Linked DNA regions of Elephas maximus indicus. The protein of the gene in region 2 purifies or fractionates together with the protein of the main gene of each other region. This does not show direct contact. Links are inferred from orthologs where the notes say so. Each region holds a gene or a part of one and is shown on either strand. Other genes may lie near its edges.

What was found.
Region 1: the proteins of KLHL22 (region 2) and NIPSNAP2 purify together in Homo sapiens (co-immunoprecipitation; 3 studies listed by BioGRID and IntAct, counting the BioPlex papers as one, with this or other methods). This does not show direct contact. The link is inferred for Elephas maximus indicus from reciprocal best matches to the Homo sapiens genes KLHL22 and NIPSNAP2.
Region 3: the proteins of KLHL22 (region 2) and NUDCD3 purify together in Homo sapiens (co-immunoprecipitation; 3 studies listed by BioGRID and IntAct, counting the BioPlex papers as one, with this or other methods). This does not show direct contact. The link is inferred for Elephas maximus indicus from reciprocal best matches to the Homo sapiens genes KLHL22 and NUDCD3.
Region 4: the proteins of KLHL22 (region 2) and EMC7 purify together in Homo sapiens (co-immunoprecipitation; 3 studies listed by BioGRID and IntAct, counting the BioPlex papers as one, with this or other methods). This does not show direct contact. The link is inferred for Elephas maximus indicus from reciprocal best matches to the Homo sapiens genes KLHL22 and EMC7.

What each region holds. Positions count from the first base shown.
Region 1 is NC_064830.1:103,039,245-103,046,815, reverse strand, and holds the start of NIPSNAP2 (protein NipSnap homolog 2), read right to left. Parts: upstream 3,022-7,571; 5' UTR 2,960-3,021; coding exon 2,868-2,959; intron 1-2,867. UniProt on the Homo sapiens protein: Protein involved in mitophagy by facilitating recruitment of the autophagy machinery required for clearance of damaged mitochondria.
Region 2 is NC_064840.1:21,860,598-21,867,744, forward strand, and holds the start of KLHL22 (kelch-like protein 22), read right to left. Parts: upstream 3,007-7,147; 5' UTR 2,963-3,006; intron 1-2,962. UniProt on the Homo sapiens protein: Substrate-specific adapter of a BCR (BTB-CUL3-RBX1) E3 ubiquitin ligase complex required for chromosome alignment and localization of PLK1 at kinetochores.
Region 3 is NC_064826.1:120,658,055-120,665,496, forward strand, and holds the start of NUDCD3 (nudC domain-containing protein 3), read left to right. Parts: upstream 1-4,422; 5' UTR 4,423-4,731; coding exon 4,732-4,923; intron 4,924-7,442.
Region 4 is NC_064828.1:23,754,150-23,761,970, reverse strand, and holds the start of EMC7 (ER membrane protein complex subunit 7), read left to right. Parts: upstream 1-4,800; 5' UTR 4,801-4,869; coding exon 4,870-5,102; intron 5,103-7,821. UniProt on the Homo sapiens protein: Part of the endoplasmic reticulum membrane protein complex (EMC) that enables the energy-independent insertion into endoplasmic reticulum membranes of newly synthesized membrane proteins.

The DNA.
Region 1 (7,571 bases), on a different chromosome or scaffold from region 2:
AAGTTAGGTTCTCATTTGACAGTTTCCACACAAGTTGTTCGGTAACGCTGGTTACGTTTACCACAATGTGTCAACATTCTCTTTGTGTTCAGTTTGTTCCCTTTCCAGTACTCTAGTTTCCCTGCCCCTTTATCTTCTCATCCTCGCTCTTGAGTAACTGTTGGCTCTTTGGTCAAATAGTGATGGTTTTTAATTAGAGCACCGATCTTACAGGTAATATCCTTTATTCTGTGTGCCATTTTACTATTTCGTGCTCAGCTGTAGGTTTAAAGAGCATCTCGGGGCAATAGTCTCAGAGGGTCTTCTGTTTTTACTGTTCCAGTTTGTGTGTGTATGTGTTTTTAATAAGAATTTGAGTTCTGCTCCATACTTTTCTCCCATTCTCTCCGGGACCAACGACTTTGACCCCGGTCAGAACGGTCACTGGTGGTGGCCACGCACCATCTAGTTCTTCCGGTCTCAGGTTAGATGAGGTTGTGGCTCATGTTGACTTGTTTCTTCTCTATGCTTTTGGTTACCTGCTTACTGTTTTACTCCTGGCCAACAGAGACCCTAAGCTATGTCTTAGATAGCTGCTTGCAAGCTTTTAAGACCCCAGACAGTACCCACTTCGTTAGGACGCAGGTCACGGTTTTTGTGAACTATGTTATACCAATTGACTGAGTTGTCCCATGAGACTATGGTTCTATGCCTTCAAATCCAGAACACCAGTCTTGGAAGGTATGCGGTCATGTCTGAGGAGTAACCATATTAGTGTCTTCGGTAAACGTGTCTGCACCCACATATTTGTATTTACACTTACCTACAGATAGTGGTCACTACGAGTCAGAATCCACTCGACGGCAACGGGTATAGATACCTCTATCTGCTCTCATTTATGTACACACCTGTACCTACCCGTATACGAATTTCCCTATATCCATTCATGCGTGCTCAAACGCTTTTTTTCCCCAGGGTTGTACTGTGCTCACTACATCCGCATTCAGTGCCACTATTCCTGTTACCAAAAATAACTAGTCTCTACAGTATAAAGTGTACTTTCCCCACTCCCCTCTTCTCCCTGGTAACCACTAACGAACACTGGTCTCTCTGTATTTATCTACTCTTATCTTATAAAAGAGGAGTCATACAATATTTGTCCTTATATGCTTGACTTATTTCACTTAGCATTATTCCCTCCAGGTCCATTTGTGTGATAGTATATTTCTCTGACTCATCGTTGCTCTTTATGACTGCGTAGTATTCCACTGATGTGTGTGATCACAATTTGCTTATCCATTCACCCATTGACGGGCACTTCGGTTGTTTCCATTTATTTGCTATTGTGAATAAAGCAATGATGAACATAGGTGCACATGTCTGTTCATGTTCTATATGGGTTTTTACCTACTTTATGGGGACCCCGCCTCCCTGGGGGCTGCGACCTTGGCTATTTTGTTTATCTTAGCTCCAGAAAACCAAACCGTTGCCATCAAATTGATTCTGTCTCATAGCAACCCCATATGTTGCAGAGTAAATCTGCACTCTTAGGGTTTTCACTGGCGGTGAGCTTTCGGAAGCAGATCACCAGGGCCTTATTTTTGAGGTGCCTCTGGGTGGGTTTGAACTGCCGACCTTTCAGTTAGTAGCCGATCACTTAACCATTTGCACCACCCAGGGACATCCCTGGCTCCACAGGGCTCCAATTACATTGTATGCACTCAATATTTGATAGAAGGAGCAAGTTAACTGGGTTTAGGTCGAGGCCTACTGAACACTTAAATTAAGGCAGACTAGAGGCCATGCCCATTTTTCACATTCAAAAACCAAAGCCCATACTAACTTACTGGCAATTTACTTCCAACAAATCAGCCACTGAAAACTCTACGGAGCACAGTTCTACTCTGACACACACAGGGTCACTATGAATCGGAAACAACTCAATGACAACTAGTTCTTTGGTTTAGGAGACAAGAGGAGTCCCTGGGCGGTACAGTTAATGCGCTCAGAAATCTGGAGTTTCACATCCACCCAGAGGTGCGTTGGAGGAAAGGCCTGGCGATCTACTGCTGAAAAATCAGCCACTGAAAATCCTATGGAGCACAGGTCTACTCTGACACACACGGGTCCCCATGACTCAGGACTGACTTGACAGCAATGGGTTATACTTTCTAGAAGCTCATTATTTACTGTAAAGGAAAGGTAATATTTAAACCACCCAAGGTGACCAAAAACTCAAAGTCGTTGCTTTCGAGTTGATTCTTGACTCATAGCTAGTGACCCTAAAGAATAAAACTGCCCTATAGGGTTTCTGGTTTTTTTTTTTTTTTTTATAGGATTTCTGAACGTCGACTCCACACACGTCAGAAACAGTTTAAACATGACCCACGGTTAAATATCTGGCGCTGTTATCTGTCAATACTTTTTCATCCACAGCCTGCTTTAAAAATCCAGTCTGAGGCTCTCTGCAGGCTGGCTTCCTGTGCCCACCACCCTTCACCGGGGACGAGGTCTTTATTTTGTCCCCACGACCACCTGAGCCGTAAACATCCGGAGCCCCGCCGCTTCGCAGCCGCAGACACCGGGCGCCCTCGGGACACCTGGCGGCCCGAGCGCAAGGCCTGGCTCCGCCGCGCTCGGGCCGCCGGGTCAAGGTCCACGGCCCGGGCTGCGCGGCTAGCGGACGTGGCCTCCCGCCGAGCGGCGGCCTTCCCAGTGGGGCGGGGCGCGCCGCCCGTCCCCGCCGTGACCTTGAGCCCGCCGGCGGGAGGGCGCCCCGACTCAGCCGCGCAGCCCGGCCGGCCTTGCCCCCCGGGCGCCAGGACGCCGCCTTCGCCCGCGCCTGCCGCGGCCCCTCCCCGCCGCCCCGGGAAAGGGGCGCTGCTCACCGGAGCGCGGACAGGAGGCCGCAGGGGCCGGGCCGCTGCAGCAGACTCCCGGCCGAGGACGCTCCGCGGGTCCGCAGCACTCGCGCCGCCATCTTGCTCGGGCGCTGGGTTACCGCCGCCGTGACGCCGCCGGAGCCGCTGGCGTGACCCCTCCCCCGGCCGGCCGCACGCTGCAGTGCGGGGCGGGCGCTGCAGTGCGGGGCGCCGCCGCCAGGGGGAGCAGCGCGGCCGACGGGGCGTGGCCAGGGCCGGGGGCGTGGCCGGGGCGGGGACCGAGGGGAGGCACTGGGTGTCGGCCGAAGAGACTTGGAAGCGGGAGACAGTCGGCAAAGCTGGGCGCTCAGAGCACGGTGTGCAAAGGAACACGGACCTGCTTGAATGTGCGTGCAAGGATTCACAAGGAGAGTCGCGCTGTTGCCCAGGGGAGCCCAGAGTCTAGGGGGCACATGTGGGAGGGGACTTCTCCCCAGTACCTTCTGAATTCTGTTAAGACCATTTGCCTTGAGAGCCTGACTTATGGCGACCCCATGAGTAGAACGGTGCTCCATAGGGTTTTCAATGGCAGATTTTTTGGAAGTAGACTGGTAGGCCTTTCTTCCCAGGTGCTTCTGAAGGGGCTGGAACCTCTAACCTTTCAGGAAGCAGCCAAGGGCATTAACCGTTTGCATCCGGGGACTCCTTAAATTTTGCACCATGTGAATATATTAAAATAAAATACCAAATCATTGCCAGATTCCAACTGATAGTGACCGTATGGGGGATACTATAGAGTAGAACTGCCTCGGGATTTCCAAGGCTGTGATCTTTCCCCCTCCCTCACAGAGCAGTGGGTGGCTTCGAGCCGCAGACCCACAGCCTTACAGTTAGCAGCCAAGCACTTAACCATTGTGCCACCAGGACTCCTTGTGAGTATATTACCTTTTCTAACAACAAAAAAAAAGAGAACACTTTAATAAAAGCATTTTGGGTGGAAACACTCAAATTCTCTCCCAGTCTCTTGATTATTCACTCCTGTTCATTTAGGCACTGAAGGGTGCTGGTCATGTGGAGTCCCCGTTTGTACCCTCAAGCAGCCCCCCTATGGTGGGGACATGATGTGAACTGGTGATCGGATGGAAGTGTCAGTATTCAAATGCAGTGGTTCACAAGACTCGAAGGAAAAGGCTGTGTAACTGAGGATAGCTGGGAAGGGGAGGGTAGACCAGGAAAAAGTCCCCAGAGGAGCTGGCCCCACAGCTCAGTCCTCTTGGAAAGAGTTGACCAATGGTAGAAAGGAGGACATTCCTGACAGAGGGAACAACTTAAACAAAGGAGAGGGCCAGCCCAGATGAGTGTTCAGGGAAAATATTTCCTGAGTAAAGATAAAGAGCCACAGATGAACCGTGAAAAACTGCAACCAAGACAAGATGGGCAGGAAGGAAGCCAGACACTGAGAGGAGGGGACAAGGCAGAGGACCAGGGCTGCAGCCTGCAGGGGAGCATTTCAAGAAGGCAGTGGTCTGCCAGTTCCAAGCTCCAGAGGCTGAGAGGAAAATGCCCTCAGTGTTGCTGGAAACTCCAGGTCCTGTTTGGCGCACCTGTCACAGCCAATAAACGAGGCCAAGGTGGGAGATCAGAAAGGCAGCTCTATTTCCTTGAGCAAGGAAGAGTCAGGGTTGGTGCCTCCAAGGCTGTTGGCAAGAATAAGGTTTAGGAAGGTCACTTTTATAGAGCTTACAAGCAGGGAGATCACTTGAATTACATCGACATTCTAAACCATGCTAGGCAGTTGCAGTAAGGGTCAAATGCAACTTCACGGGATGTGTTTAGAAAACGGCAGTTGAACTCCTCCTAGGGGTTACTATGTGTGAGGCACTTAATGAGCCAAGGTTAACTTTAGGCCTCTTGAACTAGTTTAAACCGGGTCTCGCTGGCTTACTCGTCCAGCCTGAAAGAGGAAACAAGCTCTGGGGTGTAATCTCTCGCTCATGGCCACACTTAAGAGGCACTAAACCGAAAAAACCCAAACCCAGTGCTGCAGTCGATTCCGACTCAGAGCGACCCTATAGGACAGAGTAGAACCACCCCATAGAGTTTCCAAGGAGCGCCTGGCGGATTTGAACTGCCGACCCTTTGGTAAGCAGCCGTAGCACTTAACCACTAGGCCACCAGGGTTTCCTAAGAGGCACCAGGCAGTAACAAAGGCTGCTGCCTTGTCAGGATTGGGCAACTTGGGAGGCCTCCGCTACCTAGGCACCAGAGCTGGGGGGGGCGGGGACGGACAAGATTTGTGGACTGGGAGGCTCCAAAACTGGGAATCTTGGGAGTGAAAGGTGCACTGGGCAGGAGAGATGCAGCTGTCTGGCTAGGGCAGCATCTGAACACATCGGTGTGGTAAGGAACCCCTGGGTGGTATCAGCAGCTCTCTTAGATGCTTCGCTCTTGCTCATCCCCCCTGGTGTCAAGCCCTGAGAGAGCTCTGGAACATTATCTACCCATCCTCTCACCATATTCCCCGCCCAGTGTAGCTCAGGTCTGAGGGCCACAGCCTTCCAACAGGTCTCATCTCCCCACCTCTAATCCTTCCCCTTCCAGTCCACTGATGCTATCACTGTTATTGAAATGCAGTATCATTTTCTCTTTAAATAATCTACAATGACATAAAATGTAACTCCTATTTCATTTTTTTTTTTTTTTATTTCTCTACCGGAGCTCCACCCCCAGCAATCCTTCCTACTTTCAGTCCCCTTTCACACTTTGGGGACTTTACACTCCCTTTCCTCTGGCTGGAGTGCCCTTTCCACACACCCCCCACCCACCACCTGCCAGCCTGGAGACTCTTCCTCTCAGACTGAGTTTGAGCACTCTCTCACCTCTCCTGGGAAGGACCCATGTGCTCCTGCTGGCCATGACGGCAGGCTGCATATGTCCTCCATGAGACTGTGAGTCCTGAGAGGGCGGCCTGCCTGCAGTCATCGTTGAACAATACTCATGTTGGCTGAAGCTCAGATAGGATCCAAATCTCTTTTTAGAAACCACAAACTGAATTATATAGCTCAATTTTTCTTTGGTTTAAGTCTAAGCTATCACAGTTCATTAACCAACAGCAACAAACTCAAACTCTCCAACTCAGATGCGTGTGTGAAAACTCCTACGACTTTGGCAATGTCTTGGATTTTAAGAACTCAGCCTATTTAAACTGGAGTCCTTGGGTGATGCAAACGGTTAATTCGCTTAGCTGCTAACTGAAAGGATGGCCGTTTGAGTCCACACAGGCACCCTGGAAGAAAGACCTGGCAATCTATTTCCAAAAAATCTGCCATTGAAACCCCGTGGAGCACAGTTCTACTCTGAAACACATGGGGTTGCCATGAGTCCGAACTGACAGCCACTGTTACTGGTTTTAATTAAACTAGCCTAGAACCTAGGATGTAAGAAAAGTGACACAAAATTTTATAAAAATTTTCTACATGTTGACATTTTTTATTAATACAGCTTAATCTGATAAAATCTGACCACAAGCATGCTATTTTCCTCAGAATTGGTGAAATCAGAAAAAAAAAAATTAATTTTAAATATATACCACCAAAAGCAAATACTTAATGTGGTCTTACTGGTTTACATCAAAAGTTTTTCTTTTCCTAAAATAAAGGCTCTAAGACAAGTCCAGGTTTCTTTAGAATGAAAAAACAATACCCCTTCGAAAACAATGAGCTTACAGAATGACACGGTGGATTGCTAGGTTTAACATGAAAGTATGGTCACTGAGAAGAAAATAAAGCCTTTAGGAAAATAAACCTTTATGAAAAATTACAACAAGCTTTTACTTCAGTTGCTTTTATGAATTTCATAAATACCAGTAGGGAAATTGGACAAAGTTTGTGACAAAACTTTGAAAAGTTTCTTTTTCCACAAAGCAAACTTGTAACTCCCTCCCTGTGGCGCCTTCTTCTCCTCTGCCTTTACTGTGCTGAGGGGATGGTGAGTTCTTTCAGACCTTCGGTCAGGTGAGTGGGCTCCGAACCGACTGGACTCTCCAGGTAGGTCGTTCCTGCACAGGGTTTTCCCGTCACTGGATCTATGACTCTCCCAACCTTGAAAACGATCTCGGCCAGCTCATGTTTCACATGCTTGGAGCGTGGGGCAGGCAAGGCTTTGAGAAGCACGATATCCCCCACTGTGCACTGCTGAAGTGCATCATGAGCAAAGTAGGTCTTTCGCTTATTAAAATACTAGTGAGAGAAGAAGAGAAAAAAATCAGCAGCTCCCAGCTGTGACCTGGCAATGCAGGACAGAACGTGAAGGCGCGATGCAGACAATGCAAGATGGGACTTGGGGAGAGAAAATACGACACTTAGCTGCTGCTTCATCTTTGGTAAAGAGCATCGACTTTTCCTGAGCTCTCAGCCCACCCCCAGCAAGAGCCTTGTTCTATCAATAATCATCTCTGCCTAAAATGTTTAAACCTACCCTTCCCACTGGAGCCTTCTCTCCTGCCTATAAACATGATCCTCTCACACCATGAGATGTACAATTTGAGACAAGTCACTGAACCAATCTGAGCTCAGTTTTTTTCAATCATGAGATGAGGCTCTTACCCCTGAACCTCTAGAGTTATCAAGAGAATTCAATATTCTAATGTACGTAAAGTACTTAGCCATGTGCTTGGCTCAAAGTACTGAAAAGAAGTCGTAATTGCTAACTAGCATCACCTATTCCTCACAA
Region 2 (7,147 bases):
CAGGCTCCCACAACTTTCTCTCGTGGAGCAGCTGGTGGGTTCCAACTGCTAACCTTCTGGTTAGCAGTCAAGGGAGATGCAAATCAAACTGCAATGAGATATCATTTCACCCTCATTAAAATGGCAATAATAAAAAGAAAAACAGAAAACAGGTGTTGGAAAGGTTGTGGAGAAAATGGAACCCTCGTCCATTACTGGTAGGAAGGTAAGCTGATGCAGCCATTGTGGAAAACAGTTTGGCAGTTCCTCAGAAAGTTGAACCTAGAACTAGCATATTACCCAGCAATCCTCGTTCTAGGTATATACCCTGAAGAAGTAAAGGCAGGAACATAAACAGAAATCTGTACACCAATGTCCACTGCAGCATGTTTCCCAACAGCCAAAATGTAGTATCAACCAAAATGTTCATCAACGGATGAACGGATAAACAAAATATAGAATGTACATACAATGGAATATTATGCAGCCCTAAAACGAAATGATGTTCTGGTGCGTGTTACAACATGGATACATCTTGAGAACATTATGCTAATAATGCGGTACAGAAAAGTACACTATGAAACTTAAGTTTCCCTTCAACACATGTCCCAGCCACATCCTGTCCCAGAGGCAACTACCACTACAGAGTGCAATAATTCAGTTACGAAAGGACAAACACTGTATGATCTCACTTATACGAAGTAATGTACAGAAACCAGAAGTTATTCGTGGGAGGGGCGAGGAGGAAGTTTTTGTTTGGGGGGGGCACTGAATTCTCGGTAATGGTGGTGAAGTATTTGGGAAAAGGAGAGTGATATTGGCACAATATGAGGAATGTAATCAATGTCACTGAATTGTGAATGTGGAGGGTGATGCACTGGCCAATGTCTTGGTTTGTATTTTCACCACCATTAAAAAGAAAAAAAAAATTAGGATGTGATAGCGTGAGGTGGTAGGTTAATCTCTATACTTTTCTGTCAGTTTGAAATATTTCATAATGAAATTCTGAAACGTATTTTTGAATATGATTACATTCACGATTCAAATTCAAAAAGTACAAAAGGTACATCAAAGGGACATCTGGGTTTCCTCCAACTGTTTGATAGTACAAGTGCAGTATCACACATGCAGCAGTTATCCAAGTAAATTTCCTAGATACAGAACTCCTGGGTCATTATGGAAAAACGGTGATCTTGAATTTTAATGGATACTGCCAACCTACCCTCTAAGAGGTTGGACCTATTTATTCTCCCACCAGCAAAGTATAAGAACCTGATTCCCTACTGTCTAGCTCACCAATAGTGTTTCTTTTTAATCACTGTTGATCTAACAGATGAAAAAGAAACAAAAACCCCAGCATTTCAGAGTGTAACTACCTTTCTGTAAAAGACAGTATTTAAAAATAATAAGGCGAATGCAGCACAGCTTTGTGAGTCCTCTGTGTTGCCTGATATCCTGGAATAAAGAATGCTCTTAGGAGCTCACTTACTGAGTGGCACCCTGGTCTCCCGATTCATTTTACAGGGGGTTACTCTATCCTGAGGAGCCCTCGTGGTGCTGGGGTTAAGTGCTTGGCTACTAACTGAAATGTTGGCAGTTCGAACCCACCAGCTGCTCTTCAGGAGAAAGATGTGGCAGTGTGCTTCCACAAAGATTTACGGCCTTGGAAACCCTATGGGACAGTTCTACTCTGTCAGAATCCACTCAACTACAATGGGTGGTGGTGGTACTCTAAGGAGCACTGGTGACACAATGGTTAAGCGCTCGAAAAGTAAGCGATTGAAACCCACCCAAATGCTTTGAAGTAGACCGGTGTATCTGCTTCAGCAAAGACCACAGCCTAAAAAACCCGATGGGGCAGTTCTTCTCTGTCACATGGGTTCGCCATGAGTTGAAATCCACTCAAAGGCACTCAACAACAACTCTGTCTTGAAGCCCTTCCCTAGGTTAATCCAGCCCCATAATCTCCCAGATTCCAAACATCACAAGCAAGGCCCCTCCATTCTGAGCTGCTCAAAGCTTTAGGGGGTACAGGAAGTAAATTTTATGTCCCAAGCAGGTACGAACTGGAGAACGTAAAACGAATTTTGATGAATTAATGGACGACCGAGTCAAAAGCATTTAAGAATTTCCAACTCAGCAACCATTTACTGAGTAGACACCAAGTCCTCCGTAGTGCCCCCCCAAAACCAGGACTTTTGGTAGCATGAAGCAAGGGCCAAAACAAAGAGAAAGGGGGCAGCTCTAGAAGAGGGGAGGAGGGAGTGGGTCTTATTTCCCTGAGCTGGGGAAGAGTTCTGGAAGGAATTCCGCGGAGAGCATAGTTGGAACAGGTAGAAGCGCCGACCCTGCAGCCAGTCCCCGCTGCTCCGGCCCAGGTCTGTTCGGTCCGCCCAGGATTTCGGAACCCGGAGGTTTTACACAGACAGCGCGACCCCCAACTTCTCTCATGAAAGGGGGCGAGCTGGCGCGGCTGGGGTCCACGACTGCAGTTTCGGGACCCCCGCGCCCGGAACGCACTCTGTCCCCGGCGACGCCCCTGATGGCGGCCTGGGCGCGCGGCTGAGGAAACTGAGGCTCGCCAAGGTCATGCGGTGGCGGCAGACCTGAGCCGCCCTCCTGTTGCAGGCCCGGCCGTGCAGGGCGGAGGGTCGCGGCCGGGAAGGCCAAGCTTGGGAACGCCGCAGGCGACAAGGCCGGCCCCGGCCCCCGCAGGCGCGGAGAACCGGGAACCTGTCCCTCCACCGGGCGGCGACTCCGGCCCCGACTGCTCCGGGAGGTCCAGCCGGCCGCGCCCCCGCCACGTCAGGCCGCGGGCTCACCTCAGGCCGCCGCCCCCGCGCCTCGAGCCGCGCCCACTCCCGCGCTCCCAGGCCGCCGGCGTCGCTGGCCTGGGGCCGGTGCTCGCTTGCCCGACCGCCCGCAGCCCGCGCTTCCCGCCTCCCGGCCCGCTGGCCCGCCCGATCCGTGCCTAGCAGCTCACCTGGAGCCGCCGCAAGCCGAGGCCGCACTCGCGGGAGGCGGGGCGGGGCGGGGCCTCGCGCGTCACGTGGTCCTCCCGCGCAGGCGCTATGGAGCGCGCGGGCGGAGGCCAGGGGGCGAAGCGACTCAGGCGCGGGGGGCGGGGGCGCAGGGGCGCGGAACCGGATCTCCCCCTGGAGAAGCTGTTCGAGCATCGTCCCCTCCCGCGCATGCGGCTCTGCTGGATCCCTCTGTGGAAAAGGGCGCTTGATCGCCGGGTCCGCGATGCATCCCACACCTTGGCACAGCTCCTGGTACCTGGCGGTGCTGAACGAATGAATAAGTGAAGAAATGAACCAATGCCTGTGGCGAGGGTCACGCCTTGTAAATCTCTTCTCTCACTCAAGCATCCCCTCACTCCGACCTTCCCGCCCTCACTCATTCATTCGTTCAGGCCTTTCCTGACCGGGCGTTGTCGCGCGCCCTCTGCTGGGTGTTGGGGAAAAGAGGTCCATAAGGCAAGGCCCGGCCCTGGGAGCTAAGGCAGGAGAAACACGCGTGAACAGGTCTTTGTTTTCTTGTTTACTGAGATTCTGCAGTAAATGCGATCCCAAATTTAAGGCCTGGCTCCAGCCGTCCACTAGGGACTGCTTGGCACTCATTTTTGTCAGCCTCTGGTCCAAGAAGAGCCGATCCTCCCACGCACATCTGTAATCGCTGTGTCCAGAGGAAAAAGCCACCACAGAACTTCCTGATAGATGGGGTTCAGGTGTCCTACACTGCGGTTGTGAAAGGGGCTGGGAAGGGTGGAGAGAGCTGTGGGGGGAGGGATGGTTTGTAGTAATAAGTAAAAGTGAAGAGGAATGTAGGAGGAGAAAATAAATGAAAGGAATGATGTCCCAGGAGAGTCGACCTTATTGAGCCGAGAGAGCCACCCAGGGTCCAGACAAGGGCAGGGAGAGGGGACGGGTCTTGAGAGCAGAGGTGCCTAGTGGGAGCAGGTTGGGCTGCAGAGGGAGAAAATTCTGGAAGGCTTTCTGGAGGAGGTGACCTTTGAGCTGTGTAAAAGATGATTTTTGGGGAGCATTCCTGGAAGGCGGGTGAGGTGAGTAAAAGCATGGAGGTGAGATCCAGTAAAGCGGGTGGTTAGAAGGTCACCAGAATTGTCTCAGTCTGAAGGAAAAGTTGGAGACCAGACCCAGCTTTTAGAGGCTGGACTTGATCCTCAGGGCAGCCTTTAGCCAGGGCAGGGAGAAGGTTTGATTTGCATTTCAGATACCAACCTGGGCCATAAAGGCTGGCCTGGAGAGCTGGAGAAAGGAGGATGAGAAGCAACAGAGAGGCTGTGGCCTCAGGTGGCAGGGAGTGAAGACAGAGTGGTGCTGGCTGGAAACCTGGGAAGCGGGCAGGTTCCATAGTATGGGTGAGTGATGGGTGAGAGGTGAGCACAAGAGGGATGGTGTGCGACTGTGGAGCCACCCTACCACAGGGAGGCTGGAGCAGGAGTGGCTTGGTGTGGGCAAGATGAAGCTCACGTTGGCAAGGTGGGGGGCCTGCGGACATCCAAATGAGGGCCCCTCTGGAGGGTCAGGCTGGAGGTGCGTATCATGCACCACAGCTGGGCATGACATGTGGAGCCAGAGGAAGTGTGAGGAAAATAAGAATCGGCTGAGAGCAGAAGCACAAGGCACATTGGTGTTCCATGGGCACCAAGAGATCAGGAACCCACAGAGGGGACAGAGGAGGGGGTGATCTCAAAGGCTCAGTGAGAGCCAGGTATGAGGGCAGATCCAGAATGGAGAGGAGGTGAGAACCCAGGATCTGCAATAACGAGAACTTCGGTGGTTTTTCAGGAGCCCTTTTCTCCGAGTGACAGAAGCCAGTCTCCAGGGACTCAGGTGTGAAAGGAGCTGAGGACAGGAAGACTGCCCAGGAGAGCCTAGTCTCTGAGATGAGGAGGACAGGTAAGATTACAGGCTGAAAGCCTGGAGGATAGCACCTTCACATGTGGGAAAATGGAGCTAATGGGTGGAGAGAGTGGGAATGAGTGAAGAGAAGACGTCCTGGAATAAGGGTCGGGGCTGGCCAGGACAAGGGGTTAGGAAACACACTCCTCAATCATCTCTGAGCTAAAGGTACTATCTCAAAATACACCATATATCAGGTGAGTAGTTCACCCATTGGAAAATTCCAGAGGAGGGAAGAGGAGGCGGCGTCTGTAGTCATGGTGTACAGGAAATTCTGATAGAAGCGGGCAGGTTCCATAGTATGGGTGAACTTGCTTCTGAGGAGATCCTCTGTTTCCTGAGGGTAGTAAACTTTATCTGCTTCACAGCTGTATTCCCAGCACCTAGAACAGGGTCTGGTACTCAACAGGTGCTAAGTAAATACAAACTGAAGGAAACGAGAGAAATGCAAAGCAGAAAAACTGGCTATTACAGATGATGGAAGACTTTCTAAGCCTCAAACCATTGGAAGATATCACAAAGGTAAAGACCAACTCATTTGGTTGCAAAATAGTTTGATGGCAGCCAACCCAAACAAATAAAAAGAAAACACTCGAGGAAATTTTTGCAACAAAAATGATAGCAAATGGTGAATAATCCTATGTAAAAAATTCATACAAAAGTAAGAAAATTTTAAGATTGCGGTAGTTAAATGAGAAGGACATGAATAGCACTCAAAAGAGGAAGAATAACTTGATAAGTACTTGAAAGAATCATCAATTTCAGTGAGAGTAAAGATATGCAAAATACATACTGAAAAAGAAGAACAAAGTGGGAGGCCTCTCTCGACCTAAGTTTAGAACCTATTATACTGCCACAGTAGTCAAAACAGCCTGGTACTGGTACAACAGATACATAGACCAATGGAACAGAATTGAGAATCCAGACATAAATTCATCCACATATGAGCAGCTGATATTTGACAAAGGCCCAAAGTCAGTTAAATGGGGAAAAGATAGCCTCTTTAACAAATGGTGCTGGCATAACTGAATATCCATCTGCAAAAAAAAAAAAAAAACCAGACCCATACCTCACACCATGCACAAAAACAAACTCAAAATGAATCAAAGAGCTAAATATAAAATCTAAAATGATGAAGATTATGGAAGAAAAAATAGGGACAATGCTAGGAGGCCTAATACATTGGATAAACAGTATACGAAACATTACTAACAATGCAGAAGAAAAAGTAGATAACTGGGAGCTCCTAAAAATCAAATACCTATGCTCATCCAAAGACTTCACCAAAAGAGTAATAAGATCACTTACAGACTGGGAAAAAGTTTTTAGCTATGACATTTCTGATCAGCATCTCATCTCTAAAATCTACAGGATACTGCCAAAACTCAACTACAAAAAGACAAATAACCCTATTAAAAAATGGGTAAAAGATACGGACAGACACTTCACTAAGGAAGACATTCAGGTAGCTAACAGATACATGAGGAAATGCTCGCAATCATTAGCCATTAGAGAAATGCAAATCAAAACTACAATGAGATTCCATCTTACTCCAACAAGGCTGGCATTAATCCAAAAAATACAAAATAATAAATGTTGGAGAGGTTGTGGAGAGACCGGAATACTTATACACTGCTGGTGGCAATGCAAAATGGTACAGCCACTTTGGAAATCTATTTGGTGCTTCCTTAAAAAGCTAGAAATAGAACTACCATACTATCCAGCAATCCCACTCTTTGGAATACATCCTAGAGAAATAAGAGCCTTTACACGAACAGATATATGCACACCCATGTTCATTGCAGCACTGTTTACAATAGCAAAAAGATGGAAGCAACCAAGGTGCCCATCAATGGATGAATGGATAAATTATGGTATATTCACAGAATGGAATACTATGCATCGATAAAGGACAACGATGAATCTGTGAAACACTTCATAACATGGAGGAATCTGGAAGGCATTATGCTGAGTGAAATTAGTTGCAAAAGGACAAATATTGTATGAGACCATTATTATAAGAAAAAAATAGTTTAAACAGAGAAGAAAATATTCTTTGATGGTTATGAGAGTGGGGAGGGAGGGAGAGAAAGGGGTTTTCACTAATTAAGTAGTAGATAACTATTTTAGGTGTCGGGAAAGACAACACACAATACAGGAGAGGTCAGCACAACTGGACTAAACCAAAAGCAAAGAAGTTTCCTGATTAAACTGAATGCTTTGAAGGCCAGCATAGCAGG
Region 3 (7,442 bases), on a different chromosome or scaffold from region 2:
ATATTGATAATTAACTGGTGTCCATCCTTTATTTAGATTCCCTTAGTTTTTACCTAATGTCTGTTTTCTGTTCCAGGATCCCATCCAGGACACCACATTGCATTTGGTTGTCGTATCTCCTTAGACTCCTCTTGGTTGTGAGCATTTGTCAGCGTTTCATTGTTTTTGATGACCTTGACAGTTTTGAGAAGTACTGTTCAGGTATTTTGTAGAATGTCCCCAAATTGGGTTATTTATTTTATTGTACTTCAGATGAAGGTTTACAGAACGAACTAGTTTCTCATTAAACAGTTAGTACACCTGTTGTTTTATGACATTGGTTAATAACCCCATGACATTTCAACACTCTCCCTTCTCAAACTTGGGTTCTCTATTACAGCCTTCCTGTCCCCTCCTGCCTTCTGGTCCTTGCCCCAGGGCTGGTGTGCCCCTTTAGTCTCATTTTGTTTTATGGGCCTGTTCAATCTCAGAAGTGACTTCCATTACTGAGCTGAAAGGGTGTCCAGGGGCCATACTCTCAGGGCTTCTCCATTCTCTGTCAGGCCAGCAAGTCTAGTCTTTCCTTTTTAGCTACCTGAATTGAGTTTTGTCTGATGTTCATCTAAAAAGACTGAAGTTACAGGTTTTTGGAGGAAGACCACAGAGGTAAAATGCTATTATCATCACATCTTATCAAAGGCACACCTATCAATATGATTTATGACTATTGATGTTTACCTTGATCACCTGGCTGAGGTAGTGTTTGTCAGGTTTCTCCAAAGAGCTCTGGTTCCTTTTATTGGAGAATAGCATTAGAAATCAATATGCGGGTACTAGGTTTGTTCACTGATACTGAGGTATTGTTGCTTCTGGGCCTTCTCAGCTGGCATTGCAAGGAAATATGTGTCTATTGACCCATGTATACTCACATTTCTATAACTGTTTCTCTGTGTAATTATGTGTATCTATATTAAGCTAACCATGGGCTTATACTGATGTCTCCAACTTTAATCATTACCATGTGGATCATTCTGGCCTCCTCCCCTCACTTATCTGTAACCACCCACTCCAGTAGTAAGAAACCTGGCTCCAACCATAAGCATCCATTTACTCAACTGTTCAATTACATTGTACAGGTATAGTGATTTTGGAATTGATACACCAAATCCCCATAGGAAACAACTTTATCAGCTAGACTATAGTGCTTATGTGCAGATACTTTTGCCTTACAGGCTTCATTTCCAAAGTTACTTAGGTCAGCATCTTTTCCCCTATCTCCTTCAATCAGGTTGTTTCATACATTTGTATACAGCCAGCTTCTTTTGTCACATTCTGCATTCTATCCTGGAATCCCTTGACCTCTTAAATTTGCATACAGTAAGGGTCACTCTTTGGGCTGTAAAGTTCTATGGGTTTTGAAAAATGCAGTGTCGTGTATCTACCATTAGCATTGTATAGAATAGCTTCATCACCCTAAAAAATCTCATGCTTCACTTAGTCAAACTTTCTTCCTCCCAACCCCTGCAACTACTGATCTTATTACATCTCTATAGTTTTGCTTTTTCTGAATGTCATATAATTGGGATCATATGTATCGTTTTCAGATTGGCTACTATAGCGATATACATTTAAGATTAATTCATATCTTTTTGTGGCTTGATAGCTCACTCCTTTTTTATCCCGAATGTGTTCCATCGTATGGCTGTACCACAGTTTACTGATCCATTCACCTATTGAAGGACATGTTGGTTGCTTCCAGTTTTGGGTGATTATGAGTAAAGCTGCTATGAATATTCACATGCAGGTTTTTTGGGTGGACATGGTTTTTGAATCAGTTGGGTAAATATCAAAGAGTATGACTGCTCGATCATAAGATTATGCTTAACTTTCTACTCACCTTTTTCATTTTCTTTTTGAACAGGTAATGCATATGTATATGGTATTAAATTCAAAAGTAAGTCTCCTTCTTACCTGTATTCCCCAGTCCTCCCCCTCCCCTTTCCTGCATGTCCTTTCAAAGCCATACTGAGGCATTACAAAACATGTTTACCCAAGGATTATTTAATTCTCCTGGGCAGCAGTTTTCAAAGTGTAATCTATGTACCCTTGGGGGCTTCCAAAGTCAAAATCATAGTATTAGGATGTTACTTGCATTTTTACTGTGTTGACATTTGCACTGATGATACAAAATCAATGGTGGGTAAAACTACAAGTACAACAGCATAAATCAAGGCAGTGGCATTAACTTAACTAGTAGTCAGTACATCCTTCACTACCTTACACCATAGTCAAAAAAAAAAAAAAAGTTCCACTTAAGACTGTCCCTGATGAAGTGTTAAAGTTATGAATTTTATTAAATCTTGACACTTCAGAAGAAGTCTTTGTAACATTCTATGTGATGAAAGAGAAGTGCACATAAAATCCTTAGCTTCATTCATACTGAAGTATAATGGTTGATTTGGGAGAAAGCACTGGTGTAATTGAGTTGCCAGCTGAAGTAGCCCCTTTCATGGAACACCATTTTTACTTGAAAGAATGACAGAAAGAACGAAGTAAGTCTGCCACTTCCAGGAAAACAACTGACACTATTATTTGCCAATAATAAAATTCAAGTTTTCAAGTGATAAACTGTGCTATGTCTCCATCAACTTGACAGCTTCCCAGTAATTAAGGCCTTCTCTGATTAGTGGTAATATTAACAAACATGATTCTTTGATATTGTATGATGAAATGTAAACATTTGGAAGAGCTGCACAACTCGACAAACCAACATTTTTTAAATGACTAATACAGGAGGTTACAAAATCATGCACATAAAAGGTCCACTGAAACTGCTGGATAAACCAGTAGATATTAATGTAGCAGAGTAGGAAATGTTTATTGATATGGTTTCAGAGTCCACATTGCAACTAACTTTTAAGAACTTTAGTTTTTGGTATAGCTTTGTTATTGTTTCAAAGAAGAGTTTTGGTACAGTTTTAACAAAGAATATCCATTTATTTGGAAAGACAATTAAAATACTTCTCCCATTTCCAACTCCTATCTTTGTGAGACTGAGCTTTCTATATATACTGCAACCAAAACAACATATGGCAAATACAGCAGATGCAGAAGGAGATGCAAGAATCCTGATGTCTTTTTTTAAACCAGACATTAAAGAGATTTTCAAAAATGTAGGACTGTGTCAGTCTTCTCACCAAGCTTTTTTACTGCTTTGAAAAGTGTAATTGTTTTCCATGAACATGTCAACTTATGTGTTTATTAGTTATTTAAAAATGAGTACTTAAAAATTTCTCAGTCTTAACTTATAATATGGTAAATATCGATAGGTATAACCTACATAAACAAAAGCTCAATACATTTTGAGAACGTAATCCCAAAAGTTTCAGCACCACTGCTGTTGAACAATTTATGTGAGGTCGGCTTTGTTGTCTACAATTGGTTAGAGCTCATACACTGTGAAGGTATATGTTAACTCGTGATTTTAGTACACTAGAGATGCAAATAATTTCTACCCAGTAGAAAATATAATCTATGGCTTAATTATCTTGTAGAACACAAAGCAGCTTTGTATGTAACCTAGCAATCTTACTCTAGTATTTTTTTTCTCTCAAAATGTCTATAAATACCTAGTTTCTCAAAATGCGCTTTGAACTAGCTTCAGCATTTAAATGGTTCCCTCATTAATCTGTTGAATAAGATCATTGACATGTGTTTGCTGTGTGTATGAAAAGTATACTTTGACACACTTATGACACGTCACACATATCACAAAAATCTCACAACATCGGGTTATTAGATCCTCTGTTCTGCACCTGGACGGTTCTACTCCGTCCTATAGGGTCGCTGTGAGTCCGAATCCACTCCACAGCAACGGATTTTATTCTGCACCTAGCTCTTATGCATGCACTCATTTTACATTTCTTTTCTCCTCTTATTTGAGTCACCTTGAATTTCCTCCGATGCAACGCCTTTAATTTCACTCACAGCTGTTACTAATAGGAAATTCATATACTCCACATACACGCATTTCTCCTTACCTGACTTACTGAAAAAACTCAAAGCGACGCCAGCTTTTTTAGCCACTGAGTTCCTGATAAAAACCGAAACCAAACCTGTTACAGTGGAAGGAATTCTGAGGCATAGTGACCCTATAGGGCAGAGTGTAACTGTCCCATATGTCTTTTAACGCTGTAATCTTTATGGAAGCAGATTTCCACATATTTCTCCCGCAGAGTGGCTGGCTCAGTAAACGGTGGAGCGCCTAACCACCGCACTACCAGGGCTTCTTAAGCTCAGCACACCTAGCCGGGAATTCAGCCCAGAAACTATCAAGCGTCCCACAGGCCACGTGACAAAAACCAGTAGATCAAGTGACGCTCCTGTACACGTGCCAGTGCCCGCAGCCGCAATCCTTCCGCCCGTTTCAATCATGGTCCCTAGATGTCTTCAGTACGGCAACCGCGGGGCGCCTTCCGCTTAGGAGCCACTTTGGTTTCTACCTCTGGCTCTTGCAGCGACGGCCGGCTGGCGGGAAAGCCAGGCAGGGGCAATAAGGACGGTGTTCCCGGATCGGCAGCCAAAACGCGTCTCTAGGGCCGCAGGGCTAGGGGAAACGAGAGCGGACTGGAAGTTCGCGGCTGTGCTGGCCAGCGGAGCCGTTAGCTGCAGCACGCCGGAAGTGGCTTGCTGGTCCGGGTTGCTCCATCCTTCAGCAGTGCGTGAGCTTTCCTCCTGGGCCGGCCAGAGGACATGGAGCCCGGGTCAGCCGAGTTGTACGACCAGGCCCTGCTGGGCATCTTGCAGCATGTGGGCAACGTCCAGGACTTTCTGCGCGTGCTTTTCGGTTTCCTCTACCGCAAGACCGACTTCTACCGCCTGTTGCGCCACCCTTCTGACCGCATGGGCTTTCCGCCGGGGGCGGCCCAGGCCTTGGTGCTGCAGGTAACAGCGGAGCGGGCAGGTTCCCAACTCGTGTCCACCCGATCGTCTGCCCAGTAGCCGGTCACTGAGGCCAAAGAGGTCCCGGGAGCTTCATTCCTGCGGGCAACCTGCTCCCTGACTTCCCTTGCAGTCCAAGCTGCGTTTCTGGCTCCGCCCCCCTTAAGTTGTGGAATACTTCTCCCAGCCTCAATTTTCTCATCTGGTGATTCTGTAGACCTGTCTCGCAAGATTGTGATGGTGACCAGATGAGATAATGGCTGTGAAAGTAATCTGAAACGCTGATCGGGTATCAGGTTATTCTTCTGTGGGAGCTGTGACCAGCTCTCAAGCAGCCCAGTTTTACACACGATATACTTACGTGACAGAAGTAGTAAACTGGTTGTTGAGGATCTTCTTCACCCCACAGTGCATAATTCTTCAAGTGCTAGGCGCTGCTTGTCAGAGAATGAAAACGATGCAGATGTTAGGTCAGACGGGAGGAAAGACAAATTTACGTCAACAGAAATCTACACGCCCCAAAACTACAAAGACAGACTCTGGAGGTGGAAGGGATGACTGAGGGATTGTGTTGATGAATGGGTATGATCATCTTGTTTGAAATGTGAATTCGCAGGTCAGAGACAGTCATAACATTATTAAATTTACACTTATTTGCGTAATTACTAAGTTCACATTTGAGTACGTGTATACAACCCACGTTAAATTGTGTTAAGGAGCTATTAGTATTCATTCAGTGAAGTTGATTGTGTACTTTTGAGTGTAGTAAGTAGTAAGCAAGTATTTACTGAATGTGTTTTATATTCTCCAGCAGCTGTACTGGTGATGTGGATCTATAAGTAATGGTCTTTCCCCCCTGGATGCTTAGTATAGTTCAGAAGATGGAACACAGAAAGTAATAGAGAACTGTGCCAGGCCAATTATGTCATAGAGCCCTTGGTGCTACCATTGGAAGGAAAGGAATATAAATGATGGTTGAGCAATCAAGGTTTTGTAGGGGAGGCAGGATTTTTGGTGGGATTGAAAGAGTAGTTAGCTAAGCATTGAGACTGTAGGAACTGGAGAAGTCCAACGTTTGATAAGTCTCACGGTTATCTAGGGCTTTACAGTTTGTAAAGCGCTTTTCTGTGTTACCTCCTGAAGCCTTACTGTAAGCCAGTGAAGCAGGTTGGTCAGGTATTACTTTCCTCAGTGTCTAAATGAAGAAATAAAAGCTTAGGCTGTTTGAGTAACTGCCAAAGGTGATATGGTCAAATGAGGGGTGGGGATTGGGCTCAAAAGGAGTTCAGTTTCAGAACTGAAGCCTATTCCTTATTCTTTTCAGTGGCTGTCTTAGTTATCTAGTGCTGCTATAACAAAAATACCACGAATGAGTGGGTTTAACAAACGAATTAATTTTCTCACAATTTGTTGTTGTTGTTAGGTGTCATTGAGTTGGTTCCAATTCATAGCAACCCTATGTACAGCAGAACTAAACACAGTCCTCTGGTCCTGCACAATCCTTAAAATTGTTGTTATGTTTGAGCCCATTGTTACAGCCACTGTGTCAGTCCATCTTGTTGAGTGTCTTCCTCTTGTTTCTGGCAGTCCACGGTATATTCAATATTATTCACCAGCACCGTAATTCAAGGTATCACATTCTTCTTGCGTCTTCTGTATTCATTGTCTAGCTTTCGCATGCGTATGAGGTGATTGAAAACACCATGGCTTGGGTCCTTAGTCCTTAAAGTGACATCTTTGGTTTTCAACATTTTAAAGAGGTCTTTTGCAGCAGATTTGCCCAATGCAGCATGTTTGATTTCTTGACTGCTGCTTCCATGGGCATTGATTCTGGATCCAAGTAAAATGAAATCCTTGACAACTTCACTCTTTTCTCCGTTTATCATGATATTGCTTATTGGTTAAGTTGTGAGGATTTTTGTTTTCTTTATATTGAGGTGTAGCGCATACTCAAGGCTGTAGTCTCACAGTTGAGGAGGCTAGAAATTCGAATTCAGGGCGCTGGCTCTAGTGGAGGTCCTCGTCTCTTTTCAGCTTCTGCTTCTTGGTTCCTTGGTATCTGTCTTCCTCTATCCTTGCTTGTTTCTCTGTGCCATAAACCCATTGCCTCAGAGTTGAATTCTGACACGTAGCGACCCTATAGGACAGAGCAGAACTGTCCCATTGGTTTCTTAGACTGTAGTCTTTACAGAAGCAGATTGCCACATCTTTCTCCTGTGGTAGCGACCCTGTAGGACAGAGTAGAACTGCCCCATTGGGTTTCTTAGACTAACCTTTACAGAGGCAGACTGCCACATCTTTCTTCTGTGGAGCAGCTCATGGATTTGAACCACCAACCTTTTGGTTAGCAGCCAAGCACTTAACCACTGTACCACCAGGGCTCCACCACAAGTATAAAACCCAGTGCCGTTGAGTTGATTCCAACTCATAGCGACCCTATAGGAAGGAGTAGAACTGCCCCATAGAGCTTCCAAGGAGTAGGGGTTGGGATTTACAACACATATTTTTTGGGGACACAAATC
Region 4 (7,821 bases), on a different chromosome or scaffold from region 2:
AGAGAGCTCAGTTGCTGTTTGCTGCCAGTCCTCTTCTACCCTTTGCCCAATACAAAGTAAACTTCCCAGCTCCTGCTTGGGTAAGAGCCAATACAGATTACCTATTAGTCAAACTGAACATGTGTCTAAGATATCAGCAAAGCAGAGTCACCAAGGATATATGAAAGAACATCAGAAAACTTGGAATGAAGCTATTTTTTTTTTTTATTTCAGCATACTTGTAGATTTTCCATCATTTTAGAAAAGCGGTATTTTCATAGCTTAGCATAGTTTTGACAGTTACTGGTGGTGTAGAGGGTGGCAGCACATTATAACCTTTTTACTATGGCTTAAAAAATGCTTACTCCTGCTCTGGTTAGGACTGAAACAAGTGCCTGTCTCAGGGATCAGCCCAACACTTCCTACGGAAAGAACATAACAGGCAGAGCCTTGCATCTTTAAATCAGCATTTTGAGAGCTTTTATCCTTCATGAAAAATATCTTTGGCTGAGCACATGGCTTCATTCCTCTTCAGCTGTTCTCTACCAATCCCACAATACATCTTAGATCTAATTCACCACATGACAGGGGATGGCTAAAACATGGGGAGGGAGACCTTCTCCAGTGGGTCAGTCATTACATATGGGTGTAGGCAGGAGAAGAGAGGTCAAATACACTCTTTCAATTAAAACAAAACAAAACCTATTGCCGTTGAGTCGATTCCGACTCATAGCGACCCTATAGGACAGAGTAGAACAGCCCCATAGAGTTTCCAAGGAGCACCTGGTGGATTCAAACTGCCAACCTCTTGGTTAGCAGCCATAGCTCTTAACCACTATGCCATCAGGGTTTCCATTCTCTCTATAGGGACTCAAAAACCAGTGGGATCTAAAATGCCTCCAACTACTCACTTCTTATTCTGGGCTACGCCTATGAAGACTGTCCTTCCTTTGCCCAGCTTCTGTTTATTTGTAATAGCTTTATAACTCATTGTTTAGACAGTGAGGGATGAAAATTGGAGAGCACAAGTCAAAATACAAAGAATGAACCAGGAAAAAATATTTACAACTCATATCACAAAGATATAATGTCTGTAATGTTTAAGAGCCCTTCCAAATCAATAAGAAAAGATGAATCATTCAAATGAAAATGGGCAAAGAACACAAATCAGGGAAGTCACAGAAAAGGAACTATAAATAGCTCTTAAAACATTTGATACAATGGTCCACCTCACTTACAATAAGAAAAATACAAATTAAAACCGAGAAATCATTTTTAACCCACCCGTTTGGCAAAAATAAAGTTTGATAACACACTTGTTGGTGAGAATATGAGGGAATAAGGCACTCCAATACATCATTGGTGCACTCTGATACTAACCGGCAGTTTGAATCTACCAAACAGAGTTAGGAGAAAGGCCTGGCAATTTACTTCCATAAGATTACAGCCACTGAAAACCTATGGACACAGTTCTACTCTGAAACATGTAGGGTCTCCATGAGTTGGAATTGAATGGACAGCAATGGGTTTTATACACTGCTGGTAAGGGTGAAAGTTGGAACAACTTTCGTGGAAGTCAATTTGACAAAATTTACCAAAATTACCATGGCTTGGGTCAGGCACACCTTAGTCATCAAAGTGACATCTTTGCTTTGTAAGATTTTAAAGGGGTCTTTTTTTTTTTTTACGGTAGATTTGCCCAATGTAATGTATCATTTGATTTCTCAATTGCTGCTTCCCTGGGCATTGACAGTTGATCCCAGTAATTCTTGACAACTTCAGTATTTTCTCTGTTTATCACGATATTGCTTATCAGTTCAGTTGTGAGGATTTTGTTTTCTTTATTTTGAGGTGTAATCCACACTGAAGGCTGTGGTCTTTGATCTTCATCAGTAAGTGCTTCAAGTCCTCTGCACTTTCAGCAAGCAAGGTTGTATCATCTGGATATCGAAGGTTGTTAGCGAGTCTTCCTCCAATCCTGATGCCGTGATACAGACTGAAAAAGTATGGTGAAAGGATACAACCTTGGCACACAACTTTTCCAATTTTAAATCACAGTATCCACTTGTTCTGTTCAAACAACTGCCTCTTGGTCTATGTATAGGTTCCACACAAGCACAGTTAAGTGTTCTGGAATTTTTATTCTTTGCAATATTATCCATAACTTGCTATGATCCACAGAGTGGAATGCCTTTGCATAAAATGCATGTGAAAGCTGGCCAATGAAGAAGGAAGACCAAAGAAGAATTGATGCATTTGAATTATGGTGTTGGCCAAGAATGCTGAATATACCATGGACTTTCAGAGGAATGAACAAAGGTCTTGGAAGTACAATCAGAATGCTCCTTAGAAGCAAGGATGGTGAGACTTTGTTTTGATTATTTTGGACATGTGTGTTATCAGGAGGGACGAATCCCTGGAAAAGGGCAACATGCTTGGTAAAGTAGAGGGTCATCTCATTGAGGAAAACGCTCAATGAGATGGACTGACACGGTGGCTACAGCGATGGGCTCAAACATACCTATTATGAAGACAGCAAGGACCGGCCAGTGTTTCGTTCTGTTATACACAGGGTTGCTATGAGTCGGAACCAACTTGATGCCACCTAACAACAACATACAGTATATTTATATAATAATATATATTAAATGGTATAATATATTAAAATAATAAAGTATTATATTGTTTATATGTTTCTTTATTATATGCTAAATATATATATTCCTGTCCCCTTTTTATACACACTTGGCAGCATACCATATATATCAATTACATATATGTAAATGGATATATTGGCTTGTATATTATTGATTATATCTGGGTGAATAATCAGGAAACTGATAACAGTGATTGCCTCTTGAGAAACTGGGTGGCTGGCGGAGAGAAGTGAGTGACAGACTTTTCTCTGTATACTCTTTAGTACTGTTTGAATGTTGTACCACGTGATAAAGTCCATCAGTTAAAGACCACCAGGAACACCCTATAGTCAAACAACGTTAGGTTTTTTAGCTTACTGCTTCAAGGAAGATTGCACACCAAAGAAACTGTGGGTGTACCAGTAAAATGCAGAGGAATGATTTATAGCATTTGGGCTTCTGCTGAATTACTCTAAGGAAGGTATAAGGGAGGCGAGCATCAGCTCTGAATTTGGTTTCTCAGAAATCTTTTTTCAGGAGGTGAGAGGAAGAAAGCATAGCTGGGGAAGTCATAGGTAACAAAGTAGTAATGACAGAAAAGGATTTGTCATTTTAGGAGTCCCTGGGTGGCACAAAGGGTTAAGTGCTGAACTACTAACCAAAAGGCTGGCAGTTCGAACCCATCCAGAAGTGCCTCAAACCCAGAGGTGCCTCAGAAGAAAGGCCTGGAAATCTGCTTCCAAAAGCTTCAAAGCCATGGAAAAACCCTGTGGAGTTCTACTTTGCAACACATGGGGTCTGCAACACATGGGATCACCACGAGTCAGAATCTGACTTCACAGTATCTGGGTTTGTTTTGTGTTTGCTTAGAAATTTTGCAGCTGTGGTGTAGCCTTGGAAGAAGCATTGTTTTCCGATGGCCTTGCCACTGCCCTGGGTCTATTAGGTACATCAAAGACTGATTATGAACAGTGCTGATTTTTGCTTCTTCAGTCCTGAACTGACTTTTACCTTCTCGTGTGTGAATGTGTTACCTATCCAAAAATTAAACAGACTTTAAAGTAAATAAGATAAAAATAAACCTCCGAAAAAAAATTTTTTTTTATGAAGAAATCAGACAGCTACTTGCGCATCTCCTGAACCTGGATCGCCAGTTCCCTCAACAATTACAAAGTTTATCTGCCAAACAGAAAAGCCTAATTTTGTTTTTTCTTCTGAGCAGACTTGCTCCTTCCAAAGAGCAAACGTGAAGAAACAACCATATTCAGAATATGAGGGAAAGTACCCCAAGGGGCAATTGCTGCCTGCGAGAGCAGAGTATGGGGTTGCCCTAGCGTCAGGTCCCCAACACCTGCAAGGGGCTTGGAGTATTTGGCTCTTGCATTTTCTACTTTCAATTTTTGATACCCTTTCCTAGAAGGCTAATGCTAAGATTGCACAGAGCAAAAATATACATTGCCCTCAATTATCTTCAATTGGGATTTGCAGCAGGGAGGGGAATATTCAAGATCAACGGGAACCTTGGACAAGACACTTTCCTTTTCTATCATTAAAAAAAATGAAAGGACTGGAACAGAGTATCTCTGAAATCTTGACTCTAGCCCCCAAGATCAACAATGGCAGCCCCCACCCCCACGCCCTAATGTTGTTATCCTCCTGGTATTCAAAAAGTACGAATGGTGTAGTGTCTGATATTTAAAAGTTCCTCAGTCCTCCTCTCGCCCTTAGTTAATAGTCTGTGTATTTTTCCAGAATTTTCTATGCAGAGACAATACCTCCTTTAAACACCCACAAATAAGGCATTCTATATATTCTAATCTGCAACGTGGCTTTTCATCTATTCGTCTAGTACGTCTCGGGGAATCTAGCAGTTTTTAAAGCTCTCTCTGGACCTATTTCTCCCGAAGCCGGGGTCTGGATCCTTGCCCCTCTCAGACTTGTCATTCTTAACTTCTGTGACGTCTTTGGCCTCTGTGGCTGCCACAGCAACGCACATTTCACCACTGTGTGGGCGGCGCCTTTCAGCAGCGCTTGACAGGCCCCTCTGACCGCCTTCCAGCCCCGAGCGGGAGGAGCACAGGACGCTACTTCCGCTTCGCCAGTCGACCGCGGAAGATTCCTTCGCTCTAGTTTGAGGCTACAGTTCGGGCCAGAATCGGGCGCGCAGTGATGACGACATCAGGCCGGCAGAGACTGCGGCTGGGAAACGAGAAGGGCTTCCGGAATTGGCTGCCGACCGCTGAGAGCTGCTGCCATGGCGGTCGCTCTGTGGGGCTTCTGTTCCGTCCTTCTACTGCTGCTATCAGGGGGTGTCCAGAGCTCGGAGGTGCCCGGAGCTGCTGCCGAGGGGTCGGGGGGAAGTGGGGTCGGTGTAGGAGACCGCTTCAAGATTGAGGGGCGTGCAGTTGTTCCAGGGGTGAAACCCCAGGACTGGATCTCGGCGGCCCGAGTGCTCGTAGATGGAGAAGAGCACGTTGGTTTCCTTAAGTGAGCATCCTGAGGGCAGCGGGAAAGCGGTTGGGATGGAGGCTGGAGGGCGATGCCCCTAGGAGACCTAAGTGTCAGGACTAGACGACGTCGCTGTCTGTCGGCGAACGGGCGGGCGCCGCTAGCAGTCTATGCCAGGAGACCTTGCGAGACGGTGGGACGCCTTCCCCTCACGACCCGGTTCCTCAGTAATGAGAATGGCAGGTGCTTGCCACAGGGCCAGAGCAGTGGGGTGATTTTCAACCCCGTTTTGGCCCTTTATGGGAATGACCGCTCCTGAGCCTGGGGACTTATTTGTCTCTTGCTGGATCTTTTCCTTTATATTTCATCCGGTTTCTCAGGAACCTAACCTATTTTTGCATTCAGTGTAGCCTTTTGGTAGCTTGGTCTTGTGTAGAGAGATGCGAAACGAGTGGGAATTCTCAAAGCCCGAAGGGCTTATCTAGTGACGACAGGCTGGGGAGCTAATGTTGCTGCTTCTAAAATTAATCGGCCCTGAAATCCCTAATGGAAGCACTTTTTTTGGCCTGGGGTGGGATTGTTGTTCTTTCTTACACCAGAATTCACTGAGGGATTTACAGCATCACACTTGGCATTTATGTGAGATTAGGGTTTCTCTACATTGCTTCTGTCCTTTTCAGCTGTTAGTAGAAATGGGGTTTCAGCCTACGTAAAAAGACGTGCTGAATTTGTTAAACACTCATGTTTTGCAGCGGCCAGCTTCTCAAATGTCTAGGCACATGAATGATGTTTTAAATCTTTTCCATTGTTGCTTAAAAGTGAAACTTCGAGCTGAAAGAGAATATTTAGGAAAGGGAGAATTTCTTTGGTGGGCCTGTTCACCAGCAAGGGGTATCTGAAAACCAGACAACTTAAATGTGGACATTTAATTCTAAATCTGATTTACAAATTTGTTGAGGCCATCCAGGTGCCCTTGAGTGAGAATTTCAACTATGACTGACAAATAACGACACGAGGTTTGCAACCGTTATTTTAATGTTGTCATTAATGATCTGGCGTTAGGGCATTTAGGGTTCACCCTAATAAATGACGCTTTAACAGTAAAGCTCTCATTACGTTTTGGAAATTTATCCTTAATTGACAATATGGCCTATCTCTGCTGTAATACATAATTCTTTTAAAAAATTTATTTTTATTTTAAAATAATGTAGACGCAATATGTTTATTCAGATTCCCTGGGTGGTGGAAGTGGTTAATGTACTCACCTGCTAACTGAAAGGGTGGAGGTTCAAATTAATCCAGAGGTGCCTCAAAAGAAAGGCCTGGAAAAAAATCAGCCACTGAAACCGTATGGAGCACAATTCTACTCTGACACACACTGGTTTGCCATAAGTTGGTAGCGACTGGTGGACCCTGGTGGTGGTGGCGGAATGTGTTTATTGAAGAAAATGTAAACTAGAAAATAGAAATAACAATCCTTAGCATTTTATTGCACCTTTTTTTTTAACCTTTTTTGAATTGTATAGACATACGTTTTTAATAGTAAAATGCAGTGTGTCGTACTATGTAATCTGCTGTTTCGCTTAATATTTTGTAAACAGCTTTTGATACCAGGTCATGTTCTTCTGTTTGTATGCAGAGAGGTTGGTTGAAAATTAATATGGTGCTTACAGTGGCAATCTTGTTGGAAGAAGAGGAGGTGATTTTTTTTCTGTAGCAGGTTTTAAATAAATAGCACACAATTTTTACTTACATTTATGCTTATTGGAAATGACTTGGGGAGTTGACTAACGGAAGATTTGTGGCTAAGGACTCCCCATACTGCTTATTGCAATTATCACTGTGTGCGTAAACCATGATGTATTTAACCAGTCCTCTGTTATTGGACGTTTAGGTTGTTGTGTGCTGTCTAGTCGATTCCAACTCATAGTGACCCTATATGACAGAGTATAACTGCCTGATAGGGTTTCCTAGGTAATTTGCAGGTTTTTTTTTTTTGGTATACTAAGATAATGTACTTTTTTTTAACTTTTTATTATGGAAATTTTCAGAAATACACTAAAGTAAGCAGAATAGCTTAGTGAATCCTTAAGTACTCATCACAATCTTCTCTTTTGTTTCATGTCTCCACTGCACCTGTGTGCGTGTGTGTGTGTGCTATTTAAAAATTATCCTAAACATAATATAATTTCACCTATAAAAGCATTATTATGTATCTTTAACAGATAAGGGCTTTAAAAAAAACCCACGATATCATTATTAAGTCAACAAAATAAATAATAATTCCTTAAAATCACCTAGTACCAGTCCATTTTTGTGTTTCCCAATTAAAAATGTTTTATATAATTGTTCTTTCAAATGAGGATCCAACATGGTCTATACATGGTAGAGTACATTTTTAAAGCCAAGTTTTTTAGATTTTCATTATGAAATTTATATGTTATCTTTTTGTAGTAAAACATTTACTTTAGAATGAAAAATATATTTGCTTTTACTTTAGGCTATTCTGATATTATTTGTATTGTATAATCTTAATTATGTTTTTTTCTGGACCTAGAAAAACGTTTTGAAATTCCTTTAGTCAGAGTCCCAGCGGGAAGCAGATGGCCCCCTTGAATTTAGAATAATTCAGAAGTTTAATAAAAGGATTAGACAATGTAGTCAGGGTGTGGGGAAGCAACCAGATTGTGTGGTATCCTGGACTTTACAATTCAGGGCTATTATCACCTCTAAGCCTTGGGGGTACAGTGGTTAAGAG